Caenorhabditis elegans: one gene and its partners. The protein of the gene in region 3 purifies or fractionates together with the protein of the main gene of each other region. This does not show direct contact. Each region holds a gene or a part of one and is shown on either strand. Other genes may lie near its edges.

Region 1 (7,491 bases), on a different chromosome or scaffold from region 3:
TCTATGGCAATTTTTAGCTGAAATTAGCTCAACTCACGAAAAACGTGTGTAAAATCGCAGAATAAACGTGTTGGCGACGGTGAGCCGGAATGAAATGACGAGATCTGATGAGCACAACGGAGAGCACAAGAGCGTAGAGAACACCGACAGCGGCAAGGGAAAGGACCACCCATAGAGGTATGAATACGACTGCCCATGTCCAATCGACCTGCAAAAATTTGGGAAATGTTGATTATTTTAGGTAATTTTGGGGTTTTTGTGATTTTTTTTTAATAGAAAAAAATGGATTTTTTTTAGGCCAAGAAGTAGGCGGAGCTAATATGTGTGATAAATTCCCATAGATTCGCTTCTCCGGAATTATCATCTCCATTTAGGCTCCGCCCACTTCTTTATTCCGTTTTCTACAGTTTTAAATGAAAATATCCGCAAGCTAAGAAGTGGGCGGAGCCAATATTAGTGAAAAATTCTCATAGATTCACTTCTCCTAAACCGGAATCCCCATTTAGTCCCCGCCCACTTCTTGGATCCGTTTCTACAGTTTTAAATTAAAATTCCCAACAGCCAAGAACTGGGCGGTGCCAATATGAGTGAACATTTCCCATAGATTCGTTTCTCCGGAACCAGAATCTCCTGTTGGGCTCCGTACACTTTTTGGTTTTGCTGTGATTTTAACCAAAAAAGTGGATTTTTGGAGGTTTTTAAGCGAATTTTTTGGGTTTTCTAGTGATTTTTGTACTAAAAATTCAAAATTTTCACTGGAAAAGTCATTTTTCCTCGATTTTTTACCTGTTTATCCAGCTTGAAAGCGATAAAAACCAGCTGAACAATATTAATTGCGTAGAAAAATTCAAATTCGAATGGTTTATCATGCCGGAGGGACCATATAGCTATTCCAATTGATAATATTGATAAAGAGAATAATGGACAGAATACAATTGTCCATGGAAGTGGATATCCTGGTTCGAAGAGATAATCGAATTCTAGCTGGAAAACAAAATACGGGTTTTGGAGGGAAAAATGAACGGAAAATTTGGATTTTTGGCATTTTTTGGGGTAAAAAAGACTAAAAAACTAGATTTTTGGGCTAAAATACACCAAAAATCTAGATTTTTCTAGTTTTTTGGGTTAAAATACATAAAAATCTGGATTTTTAGCTGTTTTTAGAGTAAAAAAGACAACAAACTGGATTTTTTGCAGTTATTAGGGTAAAATGACCTGAAAATTTGAATTTTTGGCATTTTTTGGGGTAAAAAAGACTAAAAAACTAGATTTTTGGGCTAAAATACACCAAAAATCTAGATTTTTCTAGTTTTTTGGGTTAAAATACATAAAAATCTGGATTTTTAGCTGTTTTTAGAGTAAAAAAGACAACAAACTGGATTTTTTGCAGTTACTAGGGTAAAATGACCTGAGAATTTGGATTTTTGGCATTTTTTGGGGTAAAACAGACTAAAAAACCAGATTTTTGGGCTAAAATACACCAAAAATCTAGATTTTTAGCTGTTTTTAGAGTAAAAAAGACAACAAACTGGATTTTTTGCTGTTATTAGGGTAAAATTACCTGAAAATTTGGATTTTTGGGATTTTTTGGGGTAAAAAAGACTAAAAAACTAGATTTTTTTTGGGCTAAAATACATAAAAATCTGGATTTTTACGATTTTTTTAAAGTAAAAAAGTCCAAAAATTTTGATTTTTTCCATTTTTTAAGGTTAAAATATCGAAAAAAATAGATTTTTTTTTGTTTTTTGGGTAAAAACACCTCAAAATCTGGATTTTTTGAATATTTTAAAATAGAAAACCTTTTTTTATCGATTTTTTCAATAAAAAATTGGGCAAATTTGTGATTTTAAAGTTGAAAAATTGATTTTTCTTCATTTTTTTCATTTTTTCAGTGAAAAAGGAATGAATTTATGAATTTTCGAGTCAAAAACTGTAGAAAAATCGATTTTTCAGCTACTTTATTGAGCTTTGCTCTAAAAAATGAAGATTTTTCACTTTTTTTTCAAGCAAAATGGTCAGAAAATGTAGTTTTTTGGCTTGAAAAGGGTTATTTTTACACATTTTTGACCCATTTTATCGATTATTAAGGTCAAAACAAGCAATTTTGACAAAAAATCAAGAAAAAAACGCAATTTTTTCGGCTTTTTCTTGATTTTTGTCCAAAAAATTCGGTTTTTTCGCTGAAAAACTCGCTTTTCCACGTAGAAACTCGATTTTTGGCCATTTTTCTTCATTTTTATCTATTTAAATCCGCTTTTCCATCGTTTACCTTAATAAAAACCAGCGAAACAAATGTACAAAGAAAAATGTGCTCGGTAGCAGTGATTAGCATAGCCGAAAAGTCGACACGCATCACAATTTCGTTTCTGAAATGTCAAATTTCTTTATTTTTTCCACATTTTTCCAGCTTTTTCCAGCTTTTCCCACCTCGACGGTGGTTTTGAGCAAAAAGAGCAAATTCCGACGATGGCTCCGACGAAAACTAGGAGATTACAGGCCCATAGCGGCGCAAAAACGAATGCGTAGCTGGAAAAATCGATTTTTTCGGGAAATTTCTGATATTTTGAGGATTTCCAACCTAAATGAGACTTTTCCATCGAGTTTTAACGTGAATAATGCCGTGAAAATTAGCAGACAAGCGCAGAGAATTACTTTTCTGGAAAAAATTCAGGGTTTCTAGGTGAATTAGCTCGAAAAATAGACTTACGATGCGTTAAACGATCGGAAAAAGACTCCCAGACTTAATTCCACCATTTTTTGTTCAATTTTTAGCAATTTTTCATGATTTTTTCACTGAAAATCTGAAAAAATTGAATAAATCAATAATAAATTCGATTTATTCCACGAAAAATAAAACACGAAAACAATAAATCCCGTGCGCACCACTTGCAAATAGCACGCGCGCCGCTTGCAAAACTGGGCGGAGCCACGCGGAAATTGATTTTTTCTTCCTTTTTCCGCCGTTTTAAAGCGAATTTTCGCGAAAAATGACTCATTTTTGTTGATTTTTCAAGTTTTTTACTCAAAAATCGCACTAATTTCGGTATTTTTTGCCTAAAAATCACATTTTTAGATCGAAAAATGGGTAAATTCCTGTCGAAAATCTTTGGCAAAAAGGAGCTCCGGATATTAATGCTCGGACTCGATGCGGCGGGTAAAACCAGTGAGTTTTTGGCGGAAATTTCGATTTTTACGGCTAGAAATATGGAAAAAATCGATTTTTTTTCCAGCAATTCTGTACAAACTGAAGCTCGGGCAATCAGTGACCACAATTCCGACGGTGGGCTTCAATGTGGAGACTGTCACGTATAAAAATATCAAATTCAACGTTTGGGTGAGTTTTCCGCCCCAAAAACCCTGGATTTTGGCCTAAAAACCCCAGATTTTGGCCTAAAAACCCCCAAAAACCCCAATTTTTCTTCAGGACGTCGGCGGACAGGACAAAATTCGACCCCTCTGGCGACATTATTACACAGGAACTCAGGCGCTCATTTTTGTGATGGACGCCGCTGATAGAGACAGGTTTTTAGGCGAAAAATGCGGAAAAATTGGTTTTTTTCCTGGACAAAATCGATTTTTTCAACGGAAAAATTCGGAATTTTCAGAGTCGACGAGGCGCGAATGGAGCTTCACCGAATAATTAATGATCGGGAAATGAAGGAGGCGATTATTTTGGTTTTTGCCAATAAACAGGATCTTGCCGATGGTTTGTGGCTTTTTTGGCGGAAAATTTGAGCGAAATGAGCGATGCTACACCTAAAACTCGGAAAAAATCGATTTTCAGCTCAAAAATGAGCGATTTTACCCCGAAAAACTCGGAAAAAATCGATTTTTAACCTAAAAACTCGAATTTTCAGCTTTTTTTGCTTAAAAATGCCCGATTTTACTGAAAAAATGGATTTACTCACTAAAAATGCAATTTTCAGCGATGAAACCACACGAAATTCAGGATAAATTGGGATTGACGAGGATTCGAGACAGGAATTGGTAAGAAACATCAAAAACTCGAGGAAAAACTGATTTTTCTGCAAAAATACATCAAAAAACACCCATTTTCTCTCGGAAAATGGGTAGAAAATGCAGATTTTGGTGTAAAAATCAAATTTTTCCGATTATTTCTCACTAAAAATCTCGTTTTTATGCAAAAAATACAATTTTTTTAAATTTTCTCGGAGAAAAAGCATAAAATAGCGATTTTCGCTTAAAATTCCCTCAGTTTCTTCTAAAAAACCTCCAGAAACGAAATTTTTCTTCTTTTTTTTTAACGGAAAACTCTAAAAATTCGCCTTTTTTTCGGTTTTTTCACCAAATAATTCAGATTTTAAGGCATTTTCATCAGTTTTCGCACTAAAAATCCAATTTTCCACCTGACAACGCTCAAAATTAGAAAATTTATCGTTTTAGAGCCATTTTCCATCAAAAAATGCAGTTTTTCAGCATTTTTTCAGTAAAAATTCAATTTTTTCATCAAAGTGCTTGAAAATCGAAAATTTTCCGTTTTTAACCGATTTTCTAACAAAAATTCATATTTTCAACATTTTTTTTTCATTAAAAATTCAATTTTTCCCTTAAAAAACGCCCAAAACTCGTTTTGCCGGCTTTTCCCGTTTTTTCACAAAAAAAAAACCATTTTTCCATTACAAAGTGCTTGAAATTCGAAAATTCTCCGATTTTCGACCAAAAATTCCAGATTTTCAGCTATTTTAAGCCAATTTTTACTCAAAAACTCATATTTTCCACCTGAAAACGCTCAAAATTCAAAAAAAGTTCCTTTTTTTAACCGATTTTCTACAAAAAAAAAGCAGTTTTTCAACAATTTTTCACTAAAAACCCATTTTTCCTTTAAAAAAAATGTTCCAAACTCGAAAATTGTCGGTTTTTGGCCAATTTTCCCAAAAAAAATCGAATTTTTGCAGATTTTCAGCTATTTTCATCCGTTTTTCACGGAAAATCCAATTTTCTCATCAAAAAGTGCTTGAAATTCGAAAATTTCCGTTTTTACACCGATTGTGCACCTAAAATTCCGGATTTTACGGCATTTTCATCAGTTTTTGCACTAAAAAACCCATATTTTCCACCTGAAAACGCTCAAAATTCGAAAAATGTCGATTTTAAACCGATTTTCACCTAAAATTCCGGATTTTCAGCAATTTTTCCACTAAAAAAACCCATTTTTCCTTAAAAAAAAACGCTCCAAACTCGAAAATTGTCGGTTTTAGGCCAATTTTTCACCGAAAAAATTGATTTTTTTCAGATTTTCAATCAAAAACCTTCATTTTTCACCTAAAAATCCACGGATTTTCACCCATAATTTCCAATTAATTTCTTTGCAGGTACGTCCAACCATCATGTGCTTCAACCGGAGACGGCCTACACGAAGGCCTGACGTGGCTAAGCCAGAATTGCAAGCCGTAAAACACATTATCTGAAGAATTTGGAATAAAAAATTCGCGTCTTGCCAAATATTAACAGTATTTTTTTCACTTTTTATCTGCAATTTTTTCTGTTTTAAATTTTTTTTTAATTCAAAAAAAAAAAAATTTTTTTTTCAAAAAATTTTCAATCCCTTAAATTTTAACATTGTGTGTGCCATGCTTATTCCTATTTTCCCTCTCTTTAATTCACAGAAAATACTCGAAAAAAATGCTCAAAATGCTCCCCAAAAAAATAAATTTCCAAAATTTCCCCCCCCCCCCCCCCCCTAGGTGCCCAATTTTCACTTATTTCCCCACTGTTTTTCCCGAGTTCCCCCCCCCCCCCCGAAAAAAAACACTAAAATCACTGCTTTTCTCCCCAATTTTTGCTCCATGACCGAGGTTTTTCTCGGCCGCGGCGACCTCCAATTTTCTCCAAATATATTCGCTGCCATTATCTGTGATTTTATCGTTTTTTATGGAGAAAAATATATTTAAAAAATCGATTTTTTGGCCAATTTTATAGTTGATTTTCTTTAGGACGAAATATTTTTTGCTGCCAGATTTTCAGATTTTTAGGCCAAAAATTTAAATTTAATATTTCAGATGTCCCGAGTGGTTCTCAACGTGGATAGTTATGAGGGAAATGGTAGGCGCCTACGCCTATAGGCTGAAAATTTCTGAAAAATTGGCATTTTTGGCTGAAAAATTCGAAAAAAAAACGACCAAAAATGGTTGGAATCTGAAATCCACCATTAAAGGGGCGGAGCTTAGCCGGACAATTTTTTAGGGAACGCATATCGCCGGGAATCGAATCTATGTACAATTTCTACAAAAAGCCAATAAATGGGCGGAGCAATGCCACGCCCATTTTCCCGGGGCTCGCAACGAATTTGTTTCCGTAGATCGTGTTCTTCCAAAAAAAAAATCTTCCAGAAATTGAAGCCCCGCCCACAAAATGGCAGGTTCACGATCTACCAAGAAATGGGCGTGCCCTACTAAGCTCCTCCCACTTTCGCTGCAAAAATCGTGATATCCGAATATTTTTCGGAAAAAATCCCGAAATTGACGCTCCGCCCACAAAATGGTCGGTCCGTGATCTACCAAGAAATGAGCGTGTTCAGACATGCTCCGCCCATTTAAGGGGCGTGGTGTATTACGTCCCACCCACTTTCCCGGGACTCGCAACGAATTTATGCCCGTAGATCGTGTTCTTCAAAATAAAATCTTCCAGAAATTGACGCCCCGCCCACAAATTGGTCGGTCCATGATCTACCAGGAACGGGCGTGGCTTATTATGTCTCGCCCACTTTCGCTGCGAAGATCGTGATCCCCGAATATTTTTCGGGAAAACAATTCAGAAAGTTAAGCCCCGCCCACAAAATGGGCCGCCCATGGTCTACCAAGGAGTGGGCGTGCCTTGTTAAGCCCCGCGCAATTTAGGGGCGTGGCGTATTACGCCCCGCCCACTTTTCGGGTCTCGCGACGAAATTGTGACCGCAGATCGTGTTTTTCGAAAAAAAATCTTCCTGGAATTTAAGCCCCGCCCAAAAAAGGGCCGCCCGCGATCTACCAAAAATCCATTTTTTTCAATTTTTTTCAAAAATGGACAAAAATTCGGCAGATCGGAATCTACCGCCCATTTTTCGGGTCTCACAGAGAAAATATATCTCGGAGCCCATCTTTTTCATATTTTTTCAAAAATGGACAAAAATTCGGCAGATCGGAATCTACCAAGAAATGGGCGTGGCTAGGTTTGCCCCGCCCACTTTTGGGTCTTGCGACGAAAATGCGTAAGGCTTTAAGATTACGGGACACATTTTCGTCGCAAGACCCAAAAAATGGGCGGAGCTGAACGAAATATTTATGCTCCGCCTCTTTTGTGGTCGAAAATTTTATTTTTCGAAAATTCCCAAAATTCCAGACACCCCGAGCGCCGAAATCGCCCGTTTTGTCGTTCTCTATGGAAAAGCTTCGACTCGAAAACACAAAATTTGGGAAGGAGACGGTCTTCTCGTGTGTTTCACAGATTCGTGTCTCCTGAAGTCGGAAGATGAGCGTGACGTCATTTGCAGGT
Region 2 (7,402 bases), on a different chromosome or scaffold from region 3:
ATTTGAACTTCGGAGGTTAGCGATCAAATCTCGTGATTGTTTTCGTGGCGAGACCCAAAAAAACTCGAAACTTTTGACGTTCGAATCAATGAATTTAAACAAATATTTAGTGCTCTCTCTCTCTGTCTCTCTCTCTCTCTCTCTCTCTCTCTCTCTCTCTTGGATACAATTAGCCCACGGGAGGGAAAATTGAGAGAAATGGCGGCGGAGTGAAAAATTGGGAGAAAAAATAAATGTTCTTCTTCTTCTTCTTTGTGTGAGAAAATAATTTAGTGGGGTCCCCGCCGCCGCCACTTCACACATGCCGGTGGTCACTTCAGATTAGTTTATTACGGGCTCCGCAGAGCTCTGGCTCCTCCCTTCTCCTGGATCCTCACCAATCATATTCGAATTCTGCAAATTGACCAAGACGGGCGGCGCCGGTGACGGCGGACTTCTGTCCAGTGTTGTTGAACGAGCGGCACGGTCTATCCGGAGCTGTGCGCTGAGACTTGTGGCGTATCGGCTGAAAATTATTAAAAATTAATAATTTTTTGAGAAAAAATTGAATTTTCAGAGAGATTCTGAGTTTTTAGACGATACTTACATTAATGCGTTAAAAATCTTTGAGATTATAGCGAGAATTGCGTAAAATAAATTCATTTTTAATGAATTTTGGTGATGAAAAGCATTTAAAACTTTTTAATTGCCTCTTAGAATGCGTTTAGCAGTAGAGCGCGCTTGCATCGTAACTTTTTATTCTCCGGGAACAAAATCGGCGGAAAAATCTGCTTTTTCACCAATTTTTTCAAAATTAATAATTAAGATAAACAATTGTGAAAATGTAAAATAGTAAATTCTAAAAATTAAATAGAAAAATTGGCAGTTTTTCTCTAAAACTTGCAGTTTTTCTCTAGAATCTCTGTTTCGACGAAATTGAAAATCCACAAAAAACGTGGTGTCTCTTAAAATTTTTTTCAAAATTTCTTGAATTTTTCCGAAAAAAACGTTTTTCGCGTAAAACTACGATATTTAAATGTCAAACAATTTTGCAACAAACGTTTGTAAAATTGGAAAAAAAAAGCAGAAAACCTAGATTCGGGGATTTTCACGTAATTTCAGGCCAAAAATCGTTAAAAATCTAGGTCAGTTCTAGAAAATTTGTACGAAAACACTCTAAATTGGATCAAAAATCTGCAAATAAAAAATATCTTGCCCCGACACAAGAGAAGCCCAATGATTGTGGGGTGTCTGCTGCTGGCCGACATGGACACACACACACACACAAAATGTTTATTTTCGGGTTTTTGACAGCTCGCCGAGCCCTCTAAAATTATCTGTGTGGTGGTGTGGTCAGCTTGTAATCCGTCCCATTTTGACACGTTCTCTTGTGTGTGATTCGTACAAATCGTAAGAAAAATATAAAAAATTCGGAAAAAAAAGTGTGTGGGAGCAAAATTGTAGTGTGCCAAATAAATACTCCTCCGAAACAACCGGAAGGGATCGTTTCACCTATGTAAAAAGGAAATTTTCTAGAGGAAGCTGCTGTGGGCTCGAACAATAATAATGTAATGCAATGTCCAGAGAAACACAGGATTAGAGAAATAGAAAAAAAACAGGAAAATTGGCTCAATTTCTTACTTATACGTCATGAGGAATCGAAGAATCGAAGAATCGCGAATTCGTGGAGATACTGTTTTTGGGTTTTTTAGTCGGCTAGAGGACAAAAATCGAAATTTTTTACTATTTCTCGATAATGGAACACCGCAATCACTATTCGAAAAAAATTCCTTTCGAAAATCGAGCCCATCAATCGACACACGGATTTCTGGCTTCCCCCATAAAATGAAATGGAAGAGTTTGCCGAACTAGGCCATTTCGGCTCGGCCATGTCTGGGGTAGATTTACGGCGCATTGCGTGTCGCGTCGCGGCTCGATTTTGGTTGTAAAACTATATGTATTTGTCCGTGTGGAGTACACGACTTTCCCACGCGTTATCCGGAAGGCGATTGCCAATGGAGCGCAAAAAATTCAACGAGGAAGGCCAGAACCTCGTGTCGACACAAGCAATCGCTACAGTAGTCATTTGAAGAGTTACTGTAGTTTTCGCTACGAGATATTTCACACGTCCGATATGTTGCGCAATACGCATTCTTACAATTTTTGCTCCCGTGATATGATAAAAGTGTTGAGAGCCTGTGAGATCATTAAACCTTCTTAAATGATTTTAAACAAAACGAAAAAAAGTTTTCCGCTTAACATAGGCTGATTTGAAATCGAGAAAGTGAGAATCGTCACGGATAGGCGCGAGAAAAAGGAAATCAACTGAGAATTGTTGTCATAAAATTCGCTACGCTTCGGGTTTCGCGCAGCATACCGCTTTATGAGAAGCTATAAAAAAGTGACTACATAGATATCTCTAAGAATAGCAAGATTTGAGTCATTTTTAGAGGTACGCCGCCCCGGGTACCAGTTGGTCACTCATGGGAAGAACAAATACTTTAGTAGATAGAGAGAGAGAGAGAGAGAGATGGAAAGAAAAAGAAAGAAAATTCAAACCTGGTTAGTGATAGCTCGTTCCGCTGACTGTTTGACACTCCGCATCTTGCATCGAGGTGGTCTGGTATTCTGCAAAAAAGAGAAACAAAGTTCTGTTTGTTGAAGAAGAAGAACAGTTGATTTGATTGAGTTAGAGACTACGGGGAAATGAAGAGAGCGATAGACACTTTGCAAGCAGGTATTAAGTTAGATGAAAGGAATCGAAGCGGCGTTTCGCTTTCAAACAAGGCAAAACATAGATTGCCATCGTCGCGTATTTGTTTGGACAAAGGTTACAGTGATGTGATAATGTTCCGGAAAAACTTGTGTGTGTGAGTTATTATATTGGGTTTTGAATTAGGGATGCTGTCATGGGAATTATCAAAAAGTATCAGCACTGATTAACTTAAAGGTGGAGTAGTGGCAGTGTCGAAATTTTTAAATTAAGTACTCAAAAATATCATAGTAATTAAACCTTTTCAAAACAATTTTGAAAAATTCTTATTGACTGTCAAAAAGTGGCAATAACTGAGTTTATGCCATTTTTTGAAAAAAAAAACTATCTCGGCATTTACCTGCAGCTTCTTGCCCAACTTTAGCTCTCAGCAGCTTCTTACCCAAGTTTAGCCAACTTTTCATCCAAGTTTAGCCCAAGTCTGACCGAAGTTTAAGTTTTCTAAAGCAAACTATCCCACCAAACTTTGGCCAAACTTAGGTCCAAGTTTCGCCAAAGTCTCGCCCAACTTTGAACACGCGGCGCGCCTCCGCAGCGCCCTCGGCGGACAAAAAATAGGAATTTTGTGATTGGAACTGTTTAAATATCATTATTATTTTGCTAATTTAATTTAAATCCGTGAAGAATGTTTTCTGTTGTGATTAAATTTGAGTTTAATTTTTTTTAATCAATTTTTGATAGCTAAAAGTTGTTATTCTCCGATCATTTAATCAAAATTTTGAACTACTCGAAAAGCTTTTCTGAAATACTGACCCCTCGAGAATTTACAACGGCACTAGATACTTGATAGAATGTTCAGAAAGTTGGGTTCTGAAGAAAAATGGTATCAATAGAAAACTGAAATTTATTCATTATGATTTAGCATTATCGAATACAGTACTGACTGAAAATTAACCTAAACCTATGAGAATGGCTACGCGTAGGTAGAAACAACAGTTTGCAATATTAATATTGAAATTAATAAAATATTCTCGCGCGACCATCATGGCTCAACAGGTAAGAGATCAGCACAACGGGAAAAACGATAGAAGTTCAACATACAGGTGAATCTTGGGCTAAACTTGGGTTAAACTTGGGCTAAACTTGGGCTGAGTGAGAGTGGGCTACACAGCGGTTGACTTTTTTTCCTTTTTTGACGCATCGCCCAAGTTTGACCCAAGTGTGGCCCAAGTTTGGCCAGCTTCTAATCCATGTTAATTTTTTTTGGGCGAAACTTGGATTAAAAGCTGTGAAACATGGGCAAGAATCTGGCGGCGAATGCCGAGATAGCACTTTTATCCAGAAAATCGGCAAATTGCCGGAATTAAAATTTCCGTCAAAAAAAAAATGTGCCAAACGGCAATTGCCGGCAATAATAATTATAATCATGAATAGTCCATGAAATTTGATGTAATTTTTTTTTTGATTGACGACTTCAAACAAATGGGTGAAAACTGAGCTCTCATCGCTTTTTGATTCAAAATAAAAATTTTCCAAAATAAATAAATAAAAGTTTTATTATCATATTTTCTCACATTATTTTTTCTTGGCGAGACCATTTCGCATAAATGCGCTATATTTGAGCTCAATTTCTATAGATTTTCAAGTATCAAGCTCAGAAGATTTTCCGAAAATCAACTCACGTATCATGTTTATGTCGAATCACCATCCACTGCTTCATAATACAGTACTCGCGCCACGCGCGTTGTATAACCGTTGCTGCTCTGTGAGCCAGTTGCATTCCACCATATCTTCGCTCGAGCACTTGCACTTTTCGAAGAGCCAGCTCATCGGACAATTGATAGCCCTTCTGTACGAAGACACGGCTCGTCGACGTCGTGCCTCGCCATTCTTTTGTTTCTCGCATTTGGGCTGGAATTTTCAGAAGTTAACGGAACCAGAACCTTTTGTTCTTATGTCGGATTAAAATTCCGAGAGAATGTAGGACTAGTGTTGCTGAGGAATATACTAAAAAAATGAAAAACAATTCTGGAATTCTAACAAAAAAAACTGCGAATGAAAAGGTTATCAATTGAAAAAAATGACAAAAAAATGCGGAAAAATCGATAAAGTGAGCCGATTACGAGGAAAAAAAGTGGGATGATAAGGACGATGGCTGGAAATAAACTGGTCACCGACCAAGAGAATTTGTGTTAGTCACTGGCAGAAACAGAAGAAAAAACAGGGCGTGGAACTGTTAATTGATTTGATAAGAAATTGAAGAAGTTTTTGTTAGGAAGAAATGACGAAAAAATAGTTGTAAATCTTTTTTTGAGAGTTTTTACAAATCGAAAAATTCTGAGCAAAAAAAAAACAAAATTCAATAAGACTGTTGAAAAGTATAGGTTGATATATCTAATTAAACTAATTAAACTAATTAAAGGTGGAGTACCGAAATTTGAGAGTTTGCTTTTGTAGACCCAATATGACCCAGAACTACCAAATTTCGTAATGAGACATTTTGCAATTAAAAAAAAAAGTTATGGCGCTTCAAAGTTCTGGAAAAAAGGCTCATTCAGAAAAATATCTCATACGGTAACAAAATAGTCGTCAAAACTAGAAATTTCGCTTTGAAAATTGTATATAATTACTTTTTCAATATCATAACATTTGTTCAAAAACCAAACATTAAAAACATGCACATTTTGACTGGAAATAACTTTTAAACGGAACTAATTTTGTTTCAAGATGGCAAGTTGCAAAGCTCATAAATTTGAATCAAAAAGAGAAAAAAGTGAAAAAAAAGTGAAAAAAGTTGTAGCATAGAGGTAAAAGTGAAGGAAATTTGATATACTTCTCTAGGAGAAAATGCAAGGAAAAAGGGAATTGAAAGGACGAGAAATAAAAAAAAACAAGTTGAGGTCAATTTGTTCGAAAGGAAGAAAAAGAAGAAAAAAATGTCGTTTGAGATGGTCAGTTAGCAGAAGCCTCATCAAATTGATTATTGATGGAGACGAGAGGATAAAGAAAAGAGAAGAGAGCGGACAGGATTGCATAACAATGAGGCAAGTCTTCGAATAAAAGCTTGTTCTGGAAAATCCCAAAAAAGGATGCCGCGATGCGGAGGCTAATTAGAATGAAAAAGAGGGGAGGAGGAAATATACAATTATCAGGAAAAAATATATGAAATTTGAAAAAAAGTGGATTTTTTAAAGTAGGGTAGAGCCTGGTAATTCTCAAAAGTAGTGAGAAACATGAAAAAAAAGCGAAAGTTGACTAAAATTTTAGAAACGTTGGCGAATGTTGTAAGAAGTTTGAAGAAAGTTGATAGAAAGTGGAGGGATAGTTGTCGAAAGTCTAGAAGATTTGGCAAGAGTTGGCGAAGGTTGTGAGAAAGTCTATGAAGTTGGGCAAAAAGTCGAAGGAAATTTTGTAAACGTGATCGAATGTTGAAAGATATTCATCAAAAGTTGTCAAAAAAGTAAGAAATTAGACAAAAATTGGCGAAAACTAACGATAATTAGGCGACAGTTTTGCAAAAACTTGGCGGAAATTGAAGGAAATCCTGTGAAAGTTGTCGAAATTTGGGAAAAATAGTTTTAAAAAATTTCAAGATGACTAGTTGAAGATGAAGGACATTTGTCGAAAGTAGCCGAAAGTTGTCGAAAAAGTTGTTTTGTAAAAAAATTAATAAAAAAAACTCCAAGAAAGGAACTGAATGGGAGACCAAAAAAGCCATAAGAAGAGCAAAAATTGTTGAGTGAAAACATTGAAAAAGCAACCAAAAAACTGAAGGGATGATCCCCTCAAGGGGATATCGGGATTTGGCGACCAAAAAGCGGTCTGATGACAACTTGCCCGTTCTTTTTCATATATTTCTTTCTTTTTGCCTAACTTTTTCGACAACTTCCAAGAAAAAAGTTGACCTATTTGACATCGGCTTGAACTGACGCTGAACAAAAATCACAAAATATTTGAAAAATAAAGTTCCAAGAAGTGGGACGGAAGTAGCAAAGCGAAAGTTAACAAGAGTAGTAAGACGAAATTTGACGACAGTTGGCAACAGTTGCTAGACATTTGCCGAAAATCGGCTTTTGGTCGGCAAAAATCGGCAAAAGTGGACGAAAGTTGTCAGAAATTTGGCGAAAGTTGATGAAACTTGACGAAAATTAGTATAAATTTTTCAGATTTTCAGGGAAAAAAAACTAAAAAGTTGATAAGAAAATAGCTTCGTAAAACTGCAAAAAAAAAACAGTTTGAAGCATTTCCAAGAAACATAAAATATAATATGAATGGAGTGAAAAGGAGCTCCGTCAAGTGTAAGAGAGTGTGCAAGACTCGGAAACGCAGAGAAAAGATGCTTCACCTCATAAATTGATAGCGTGTGAAATTGAGAGATTGTGCTAGAGAATGTCATAAAGACATCAAGTGCTCTTTTGCAGAATTAGTACACTTTTTGGTGCGCCCCGATAAAATACGAGACGTACAGCAAAAAATGCAGTAGCTCTACTCGGAAACGAGCAGAGACGTATAAATTGCAGCTCTGTGAGAGAAAAAGTTTTAAGAAGAGCCAAAAAATGTATTGACTGAAGGTATGTTTTTTGGTGAGTAACTGAGAAAGCGAGAAGGAATGTCGAAATTTGAGATGGTAGAGGAATTTTTATGACGTGGTCATTGTGTTTTATCACTCTTTTTCGTTATTTGCAATTACTTTCGAAAGGACACAGATGT
Region 3 (9,105 bases):
TTAAAATTTTTTGAGCGATCAAGCTTTTCGCATGTTGAAAATGCATTTCTTTCCAGAATACGGACGAATCTCTGAAGAAGTTTCAGGAGCCAAAATGGTCAATTCGAATATTTATTTTTATAGCTCTTTTAATTTCTTTTTCAATTTTACTAACAGTTTCCTACAAATCAATGATGGTAAGTAAAATAAATAAATAAAACTTGGAAAAATCAGAACTTTTCGATATTTTCCAAAATAAACTTCACTAAAACGTAGGCTGAAAATCAGAAAAAATATCTGAAAAATAATAAAAAATTTTGAAATTAAAGTTCTTGTGTCCACCAATTAGCAATGTTAGCCACGCCCCGCGAACCACTGATTGACCGATTTCTTTCTCATAATTTCATAAATTTCAGATTCCGAACAAATTTATCGTGAGATTATCTGGAAAAGAGCGCGCTCCTCTGAAGCATATAACAAGAAGCATCACGAAATTCGCAGATTATTATTTTACAGAGTATGCAAAACCTACTTATGTTTTGAAATTAAAAAAAAAACTATTCAGATCTGAAAGTCGATATTTAAATTGTGCTAGACTAATCGACGGAGATGTGGAGTCCATTGACACATATGTTAATAATGGAAGAATGAAGTTAGATGAAGAGAAATTATTTCAACTTTCAATGGATTGTGATTCAATTCAAAATCGTATTTTTCGAGATATGCCTCCATTTGAAAAATTGAAAAGACCTATTGCATTTGTTCGAAATATCTATGGAATATATGAATTACAAGAGGTTTTTCTATCCATTTCATATCACCCGGATAACTATTTCTGTTATGCAATGGATTCAAAAAGTAGTGAAAAATTGAAGAAATCTATGAGAATAATGGCTGATTGCTTTGAAAATGTGATTGTGTTGGATAAAGAATATGATATGGATAGAGCTGGTCATAAACAAGATGCTGCACATTTTGATTGTTTAAAACAAATTCTTGATGAACATTGGAGTCATGCCATTACATTACAGGTAAAAAAATATTTTCTTGAAATTCTGAATTGTTCTTCTTTTCAGTTTTCTTTCTTTAAAAATATTATTTTCAGAACTTCGACTTGATAATCAAATCTCCTAAACAACTATCTGATCTCAGTGAAATTCTAAATTACACCAGTATCATGGGTTTTGACTATGGATTTACAAGTAGATATCGAACATTTGAAGATTGGACTCCAGCTGGAATGAAACTTTTCAAAAATGGTTTTCCTTTTTTCATGTGGGCTTATAATTTTGATAGACTACATTTATTCATATAGAGAATAGTACAAAATAGAGATGAGAAAACATTTCCTAAAAGTACCAAAACTTCTTTGAGCCGACTGAATTATTTCTTAAAAATAAAAAAATAAATTTTAAAAAACCATTCCAAAGGCTGATGCCGCCTAGACTTTTATGCTTTTTTTCTTTTTGCACATTACTTAAATTTTAGGATTTATAGTGCAAAACGTCTTTAATTAAACCAGTCTCACAAAAAGTACAAAATATTTTCTAATCGAACAGCACGAACAGGTTTGCGTCTTTAAGGTCCTGTAGACTTGAGATGCTACAGTACTCCTTGCTTGGAGGCCTTTGAGACGAGGTGCCGCATTCTTATATCGAAAAATTACATGACAGAGTAACATAATTTTATTTTCAGAACAAAGTGTACCTCTGGAAATACTCCACAAAAAACTAAAAATTCGAAAAAGTTTAAACGAAGTAATCCTTTCGAAGGTATTTGTCAAGTCTTTATTTGATAAAGTGAATCTGCAAAATGTAATCAAAAGATTTGATGATAGAACGGTAATGTTCTACTCTTGAAAACGAGAATAATATTCAATTTCAGCTTTTTGGGGTTGACGAAATGATGGTTATGACACTTTTTGAAAACTATTTGGGATTAGATGGGCAAATGGAATCTAATTGTACCGTGGCAAAGGAAGATATATTAACACGGTTTGTATAGGATAGGCATGCCTTCATTTGTTTGTGCCTGCCTACCTCATGTCTGCATGTCACCTATTTTTTTGCTCTTTATTTGACTCTCTTGAAAATTCTAATGATAATAATTTCCAAGTGTACCAAGTGCAGAATCAGGCTCGTGTAGGTCACCTTGAAGGCAGGCTTACATTGCAAATAGAAAACTGAAAATTACAGTCAAACTCATTGGCATCTTGAACAATCCGACGGACTATATCAAGATTGTAAATCCAAGTGGTTAAGGCATTCAATATGTGTAATTGGAGTCGAATTTCTACAAGAACTTTCAAAAAGTCCGATGGTTATTGGTGATTTTTGAACATTCATGTTTATAAATAAATTGATTTTTCAGCAAACAAAGTGACCGCCAACTTCGATTTTGGAACGATAATTTGCGTTCGTGAAATGATAAAAACCAATAAAACAGGAAATAATCCAGATTCTCAATGGCTTTCCTACTTTCCACAGTTTCGTGAGATGTTGTTGAAAGCTAATGGAACTTATTACAAGAATAGTTTTCAATGTTGATCAAGTTTTTTAAAGAAAATTTTGTTTATTATTTTCAAATTTTTCACTAAACAGTTTTCCTCTGAAAATCATGTTATCTGCATTTTAAATTGAATTCAAATGAAAATTCAACTAATTCATCTGCTGAAAATTTAGAATAACGAACAATCAAGAGATTTTTGAAAAGATGATGTAAAATTACATTCAAATACCAGTAAACCAAAATTTAGAAACAGGGAAATATGAAAATGGAGAAACGGAAACTACGCTTGCACATAAACTCAAACAAAACATTTTCACTTTTTCTTATTGCTCAATGAGTCGTAAACAGCAAGTGCTTGAGAAACCATACTTCCTGGATCACTGAGATTTGCCGGAAGAACAACAGTATTTGATTCCTTGGCAAGATTTCCAAAAGCTCCAACATATTGCTCTGCAACGGTCAATCCAGCAGCATTTGCACCTCCATCTTTCTCAAGAGCCAATGCAATACGTTCAATAGCTTTGGCACGAGATTCGGCTTTAAGGATTACTGCTTCTGCTTCTCCCTTTGCTACATTGATACGTTCGGCTTGAACAGCCTCAGACGCCAAAATAGCTGATTTCTTGTCTCCTTCGGCCCTGGAAATGTTTAAATTTAGAATATTTTTACAACTCTCACGATGTTACTGAATGAAATGTGTAATTGGAAAAATATTATACCTATTAATGGCAGCTTCTCTGATTCCTTCTGATTCCAAAATCGCGGCTCTTTTCTTTCTCTCAGCTTCAACTTGCATTTGCATAGCTTCTTGAATTTTTGATGGCATCTGCATATCTCTGATTTCGTATCGCATACATTGAATTCCCCAAGGTGCTGATGCTTTGTTGATTGCAAATACAATATTTTCATTGAGCAATTCCCTCTCCTTGAATACTGTATCCAAATTGATTTTTCCAACTTCACTTCTCATCGTTGTCTGCGCTAATTGAGTTACTGCGAATTCTGGGTCATCGACTCCGTACGATGCCTGCAATTTACAAAGAAGTGTTATTTTTCAATTACAGGCGAATCAAAAAACAGGCGTCACATGCCTTGTAGGGATCGAAAACACGCAAATAAAGAACTCCGTCGAGCCTGAGTTGTACATTGTCAATTGTAATGGCTCCTTGCTCAGGAATCTCAATTGCAATTTCACGAAGATTTTGAACGAATTTGATTTTATCAATGATAGGCAATAAGAAGTTGAGTCCCTGAAAAAGTTGGTTTATTAATTACCTTTTAGGAAATGTTACCGGTTCAAGAATCTTGTAGAACTTTCCCATTCTTTCTACAACCCACGCTTCTTGCTGTGGAACAAAATTGATGACAGTATTATGTGCAGCATGGGCCTGTCGTGATGATGTCACAGCTAATGGGAGCGTTGAACTTCTAAATAATATAATTGCCCCCCTCACAATAATTTAATTTATCGGCCTACCTTAGAAGAGCTGACGAATTCATTAAAAGTCGATTAGTTAGCGCCATTTTCTGTAAAATCATTTTTAATGATGCAATGCAATTTCGAAAGATTCAGCAGTTTAAATAATGTATTAGTGGGAGGAGGATGGCAGAAAAGTATTTCGTCATGGTGGTGGCCGAGTGGGAGAGATAGATTAAAAATATGCACATTTACATCAGGACTGAGAGATTTTAATATAAACACCACTATTCTTCAATTTTTAAGAAACGAAACGTTCACAAAGTATAAAAATATAAAGAATAAAAATACAATTAATTTAAAATAATGTCTGTGTAGATTTACGGTAAACAACGCTCCCATATGAAAGACGGAGTGTCGTCACCCGTTTCCACGTTTTCGCATTCAAAGAAAACATGTTTCATGTATTCTATCACTATTGTTGTATCTCTTATTGATTTTTTTGTTTTCATGCGTCGTTCTTCTTTTTCATATTTTTTTTCCACAACAAACTTCATTCCCTTTTCAGCTCTCCAAAATGGTGGATAGTCTATTGAGTATGGACATCTACGAGAGTTTCAACTTGTACTCACACCCAGAAAAATTCTTCTTAGAACCAACCGATCTCGGCGGTGGTGCTGCGTCGAAACATTATCTCGAAATCGATAGACACACAAATGTGATGAAAATTATTGGTAAGTCTGACTTTTGGTCTGATCTAAATATAAATTTATAATTACAGATTCACGCAAGCAGCGAGTTCCAATTGCTGATACGGACATCAAGTTTATTTATGGGATTTTGGGAACAATTAAACTAGTCTCAGGATATGCTTTGATCGTAATAACAAAGGCTTCTTTGATCGGACAAGTTAATAATCACAACATCTGGACTATTCAAGATGCCGAGATTATTCCTTACAAGAAAACAACACTTCACTTGACTGAGAAACAAATTAGATATAATAGATTATTCACTGATATGCTCACTCATGTGCTGTCTATTGGCGGATTCTACTACTCGACGACTCTTGACATCTCACGCACATTTCAATGGCTTCAGGAGAACGCTGTTCCTTTGTTCAAAACAAGAAGTATGTTGGACAGAGCCAGCGAACGTTTCATATGGAATGGACATCTACTGTCACAGATCCGGCAGGTCCCTGGTGCAGAAAGATACACATTGCCCGTTATTCATGGTTTTATTGGCCAGAATCGTGTGAATGTGAATGGAAAAGAGATTAAATTGACTATCATATCCAGAAGAAGCATTTATCGGTAATTTTTTTTACTTAAAAATGTTTTAAATAAATTTGTAATAATTAAAAAAACGTTTATTTCGATTTTCTGGACAAAAAATTAATACTTCTAACAACGAGCTCGCTTTTCACAAAAATGTTTTGTCTGAATCCAAGATATATTAGTTTTAAATAATTATTAACCTTTTTAGTACGAATTTCATGTTTTTTCATAGTTTTCTCTGAAAAAAAAACTATTAGTATAATTCAATTTTTCAGTGCTGGCGTCCGTTTCTATAAACGTGGAGTCGACGTAGATGGTCATGCAGCAAACTTTGTTGAAACAGAACAAATCGTTGAATACACGAATCCTGACAAGCACCTGACTTCGTTTGTGCAATTGAGAGGTTCTATTCCTCTTCTCTGGACTCAAAAACCAAATCTACGTTGGCAACCGATGCCTACACTGAAACCAACAGATGACCAGCTTGCTGCTTTCAATCGAGCTTTTTCGTGGCACAAGCAACACTATGGTGGTAAACATGTGATTGTAAATCTTGTAAATCAAAAAGGAAGAGAGAAAAAAGTTGGAGGAGAACTGGAGAGAATATCACGACAAGCAAATATCGAATTTGTTCGTTACCATCAATTTGATTTTCACAAAGAATGTCATTCTATGCAATGGCACCGAATTGATTTGTTGCGGGAGCAGTTAAGCCAAGAAATTTCGAGTTTTGGATATTTTTACTTGTCCCCGAATAGTATGGAAACAAGTCGATTCCAACGTGGATTTTTCCGTACGAATTGCATGGATTGTCTAGATCGTACCAATGTGGTTCAGTCGATGTTGGCACGTGAATCACTCACCGAACAACTTCGAATGCTTGGAATTTTATATTCAGAGCAGAAAGTTCAAGATATTCCACTTCTTGAAGATGCATTCAAACAAAGTGAGTTTAATCAAAGTTATTTTTTTGAAAAACGAAAATCGTTTGAAATCGAAGGTTGATTTTTTAGAAGATCAATAACTGACAATGAAAAAAATATGTAAAGTTTACAACTTTATTCCAAAAAAACTCAATATTTTGATCTGAATTCGCAGATTCATGAGTGTGTCAGTATATCAATCATTTTCGCTCACTTATTTTTCAAAAAAAAATGGGCAAATACTGTTTTACTACTTGATTTTTTACTACGTATCTCTTTTACTACAAGATCTCTTTTACTACGGAATCTCTTTTACTACGAATTCCGCATTTAGATCTTTCACTACAATTGGCTCTTTCACTACGTGTTCTCTTTTACTACGATTTGATCACATAGATCTTTTACTACGGAAAACACTTTTTTACTACCTTATCTTTTACTACGTGGATGTTTTACTACGTTTTACTCTTTTGCTACGGACATATTTTTACTACGTGGAGGGGTACTGTTAGGTTACTGTAGTGGTATTGTGTAAATAACAGTTTTCAGATTATATACTATAGTTTTTTTTAATTGCTAGAAATATATTCACTAGGAAAAATTTTTTACTAAATACAATGGCAGGGATTATATTTTTAACTATGTTGCGTAATTTTTACTACGAATTAATAATCAATATTTATAGTATAAGCTAGATATAAACAAATGCATGAATATTTTCTAAAAATATATAGGTCACAATTGAAGTTTGTGCTCAAGTAGTTCTAGTAAATTTCAGTTTTTTTGGATACTGAGATTGAGTTAGTGGAGGGATCCTGTTGAGTTACTGTAGTGATACTGTTGTTGGAGTACTTAACTTTTTTCGCGTAACCAAAAAATTAGTTCCATACCGGTTGATGTATAAGTTTTAAAAATGTAATAAACAACTTGCGGTTCGGTCAGTTATCTGTCAGATGTTTGAAATTTTGACTTCAACTGAAATTTTGGAACTTTTGATCAAAAATTTGTTTTTTTCTGGATTTATCAAATCTTGTATAAAATAAGCAGTTTATTGTTTTCTATCATCTTGAATGTTCATATCACGATTTTAGATTAAAACAACAGAGATAAGTTACCGAAAGTGTGTTCACAAAACTTATTGACTCCGAGTACCGATAACTCCGCGAAAAGAATTTGGTAAAAAATGTTCAACTGACAAATTGTAGACCATGCTATATTCAACAACTTTGTAGTTGAAATCTTTTTGACACGACCGAGATAAGAGTGTTTAGCGAGACTGCATTCTCAAACGTATCGGACCTACATTTTTCTTTTTCAGAAAATCTTTTGAGAAACATTTATAGAGGATTTTGCAAATGTCATGAATGTTTCTGGAATTTTTACAAGTTTTACAAGAGAGCAAGCTCATTTCATAGTGAATAAATTTCTACAGTAACCTAACAGTATCCCTCCACGTAGTAAAAATATGTCCGTAGCAAAAGAGTAAAACGTAGTAAAACATCCACGTAGTAAAAGATAAGGTAGTAAAAAAGTGTTTTCCGTAGTAAAAGATCTATGTGATCAAATCGTAGTAAAAGAGAACACGTAGTAAAAGAGCCAATTGTAGTAAAAGATCTAAATGCGGAATTCGTAGTAAAAGAGATTCCGTAGTAAAAGAGATCTTGTAGTAAAAGAGATACGTAGTAAAAAATCAAGTAGTAAAACAGTATTTGCCAAAAAAAAATGCAAAAAATAACATTATTGCCACAAACACGAAAAAAAACCAAAAAATGGAAAATCTACACCCCTGGTCATCTTGTCAGAGCATAGATTATTTTAAAGTATAGTTTCAAATACCAATTACTTCTATTGAAATATGTTTCAGTGTGGGCAGATAATGGTGATGAATGTAGTCGTCAATATGCTGGAACAGGCGCATTGAAAGCAGATTTCACTCGTCACGGAAGACGGACATATGTTGGAGCAATGAAAGACGGTGTCAATGCAGTGTCCCGTTACGTACGAAATAATTTTGGAGATGGATACCGTCAAGATTCAATTGATCTCTTCCTTGGTAACTTCCTAGTCGATTCGTCAGATCTTCCTGTTTCGCTGGAATCTTCGATTCTATCAACGGATCAGAATGGTCTTGCCCTTATTGCCGCGTTGTTTGCCATGTCAATGACAATTCTTTGTCTTTTGGTTGCAGGTACTATATTAATCACTTACTATTGCACACGATACTCGATAATATTCCGAATCCTTCAAAAAAAAAACATTTTTTCAGACAACTTCACCGCAACAATCTTCTGGATGGTCATTTTCTTTGTCTGTATGATGTTCATATTTTTGAACGGCGAAGAATTTGTAAATGCTCCGAAGCTCAAACTGGACTAATGCCATATCTGTCCGAAAACCGTTCATTCCTACAATCAAAGTTGCACCCCTTTTTTGTGTATTTATTTTTTCGCGTTGTAGAAAGAGAGAGTTTATTTATTGTAGATGAAGTTTGTACTAACAAGTTTATTATGCAGAGAGAACAACTATTTTCAGTAATACATTTTTGGCACTGTAACACAGTCAAATTTCTTTGGTTTTGTTCTTCAACACACATTATGAAGTGTGAAGAAAAAACAAAAATAAAAATTGAATGAGACCCATTTGGTAGGGGGGAGAGAACGAAACGACGCAGAGAAGAAAGATGGGTAAGATGCAGAGGAAATGAATTGACTGGGATCAGATGGGAATGATACAAACGGGAGGAGTTTTACATCGGGAGGATGTCATTAAAAGTTGACGGAAAAAAGTGATAAAATATACTTTAAATATTCAGGAACATTTCTACTTTTTCTTCTCGAATGATGAAGATGGTGTCACGGGATCTTTCTGAATAATACAAATAGATTTAGTTGATACTAAAATTGAATTCTCACCGAAACAATAGGTTCCATAGCTTCAACAATACTATCAAGACCAAGAAGGCATCCTTCGTCGGCACCAGAATATGCAAGATCCTAAA

What was found.
Region 1: the proteins of sacm-1L (region 3) and arf-6 purify together in Caenorhabditis elegans (affinity purification with western blotting, with the first as the bait; one study listed by BioGRID). This does not show direct contact.
Region 2: the proteins of sacm-1L (region 3) and bris-1 purify together in Caenorhabditis elegans (affinity purification with western blotting, with the first as the bait; one study listed by BioGRID). This does not show direct contact.

Annotation. Positions count from the first base shown.
Region 1 is NC_003282.8:16,944,047-16,951,537, forward strand, and holds arf-6 (ADP-ribosylation factor 6), read left to right. Parts: upstream 1-3,073; 5' UTR 3,074-3,081; coding exon 3,082-3,163; intron 3,164-3,230; coding exon 3,231-3,334; intron 3,335-3,424; coding exon 3,425-3,522; intron 3,523-3,605; coding exon 3,606-3,706; intron 3,707-3,926; coding exon 3,927-3,987; intron 3,988-5,333; coding exon 5,334-5,415; 3' UTR 5,416-5,688; downstream 5,689-7,491. Other genes in the region: Y116A8C.9 (Transmembrane protein 185B), read right to left, coding at 38-208, 787-984, 2,270-2,366, 2,428-2,526, 2,579-2,656, 2,708-2,754; rad-54.B (DNA repair and recombination protein RAD54-like), read left to right, coding at 6,021-6,063, 7,339-7,489.
Region 2 is NC_003282.8:3,814,726-3,822,127, forward strand, and holds the start of bris-1 (SEC7 domain-containing protein), read right to left. Parts: upstream 4,604-7,402; 5' UTR 4,599-4,603; coding exon 4,375-4,598; intron 2,608-4,374; coding exon 2,539-2,607; intron 730-2,538; exon of another isoform or gene 643-729; coding exon of another isoform or gene 587-642; intron 506-586; coding exon 378-505; intron 1-377.
Region 3 is NC_003279.8:9,484,016-9,493,120, forward strand, and holds sacm-1L (Phosphatidylinositol-3-phosphatase SAC1), read left to right. Parts: upstream 1-4,472; 5' UTR 4,473-4,481; coding exon 4,482-4,638; intron 4,639-4,685; coding exon 4,686-5,220; intron 5,221-5,459; coding exon 5,460-6,130; intron 6,131-7,971; coding exon 7,972-8,295; intron 8,296-8,373; coding exon 8,374-8,483; 3' UTR 8,484-8,605; downstream 8,606-9,105. Other genes in the region: gly-21 (GLYcosylation related), read left to right, coding at 57-176, 396-496, 545-1,010, 1,085-1,238, 1,675-1,820, 1,864-1,973, 2,175-2,305, 2,350-2,525; Stomatin-like protein stl-1, read right to left, coding at 2,801-3,125, 3,207-3,514, 3,579-3,737, 3,780-3,915, 3,965-4,011; F30A10.3 (Kinase), read right to left, coding at 8,928-8,972, 9,020-9,100.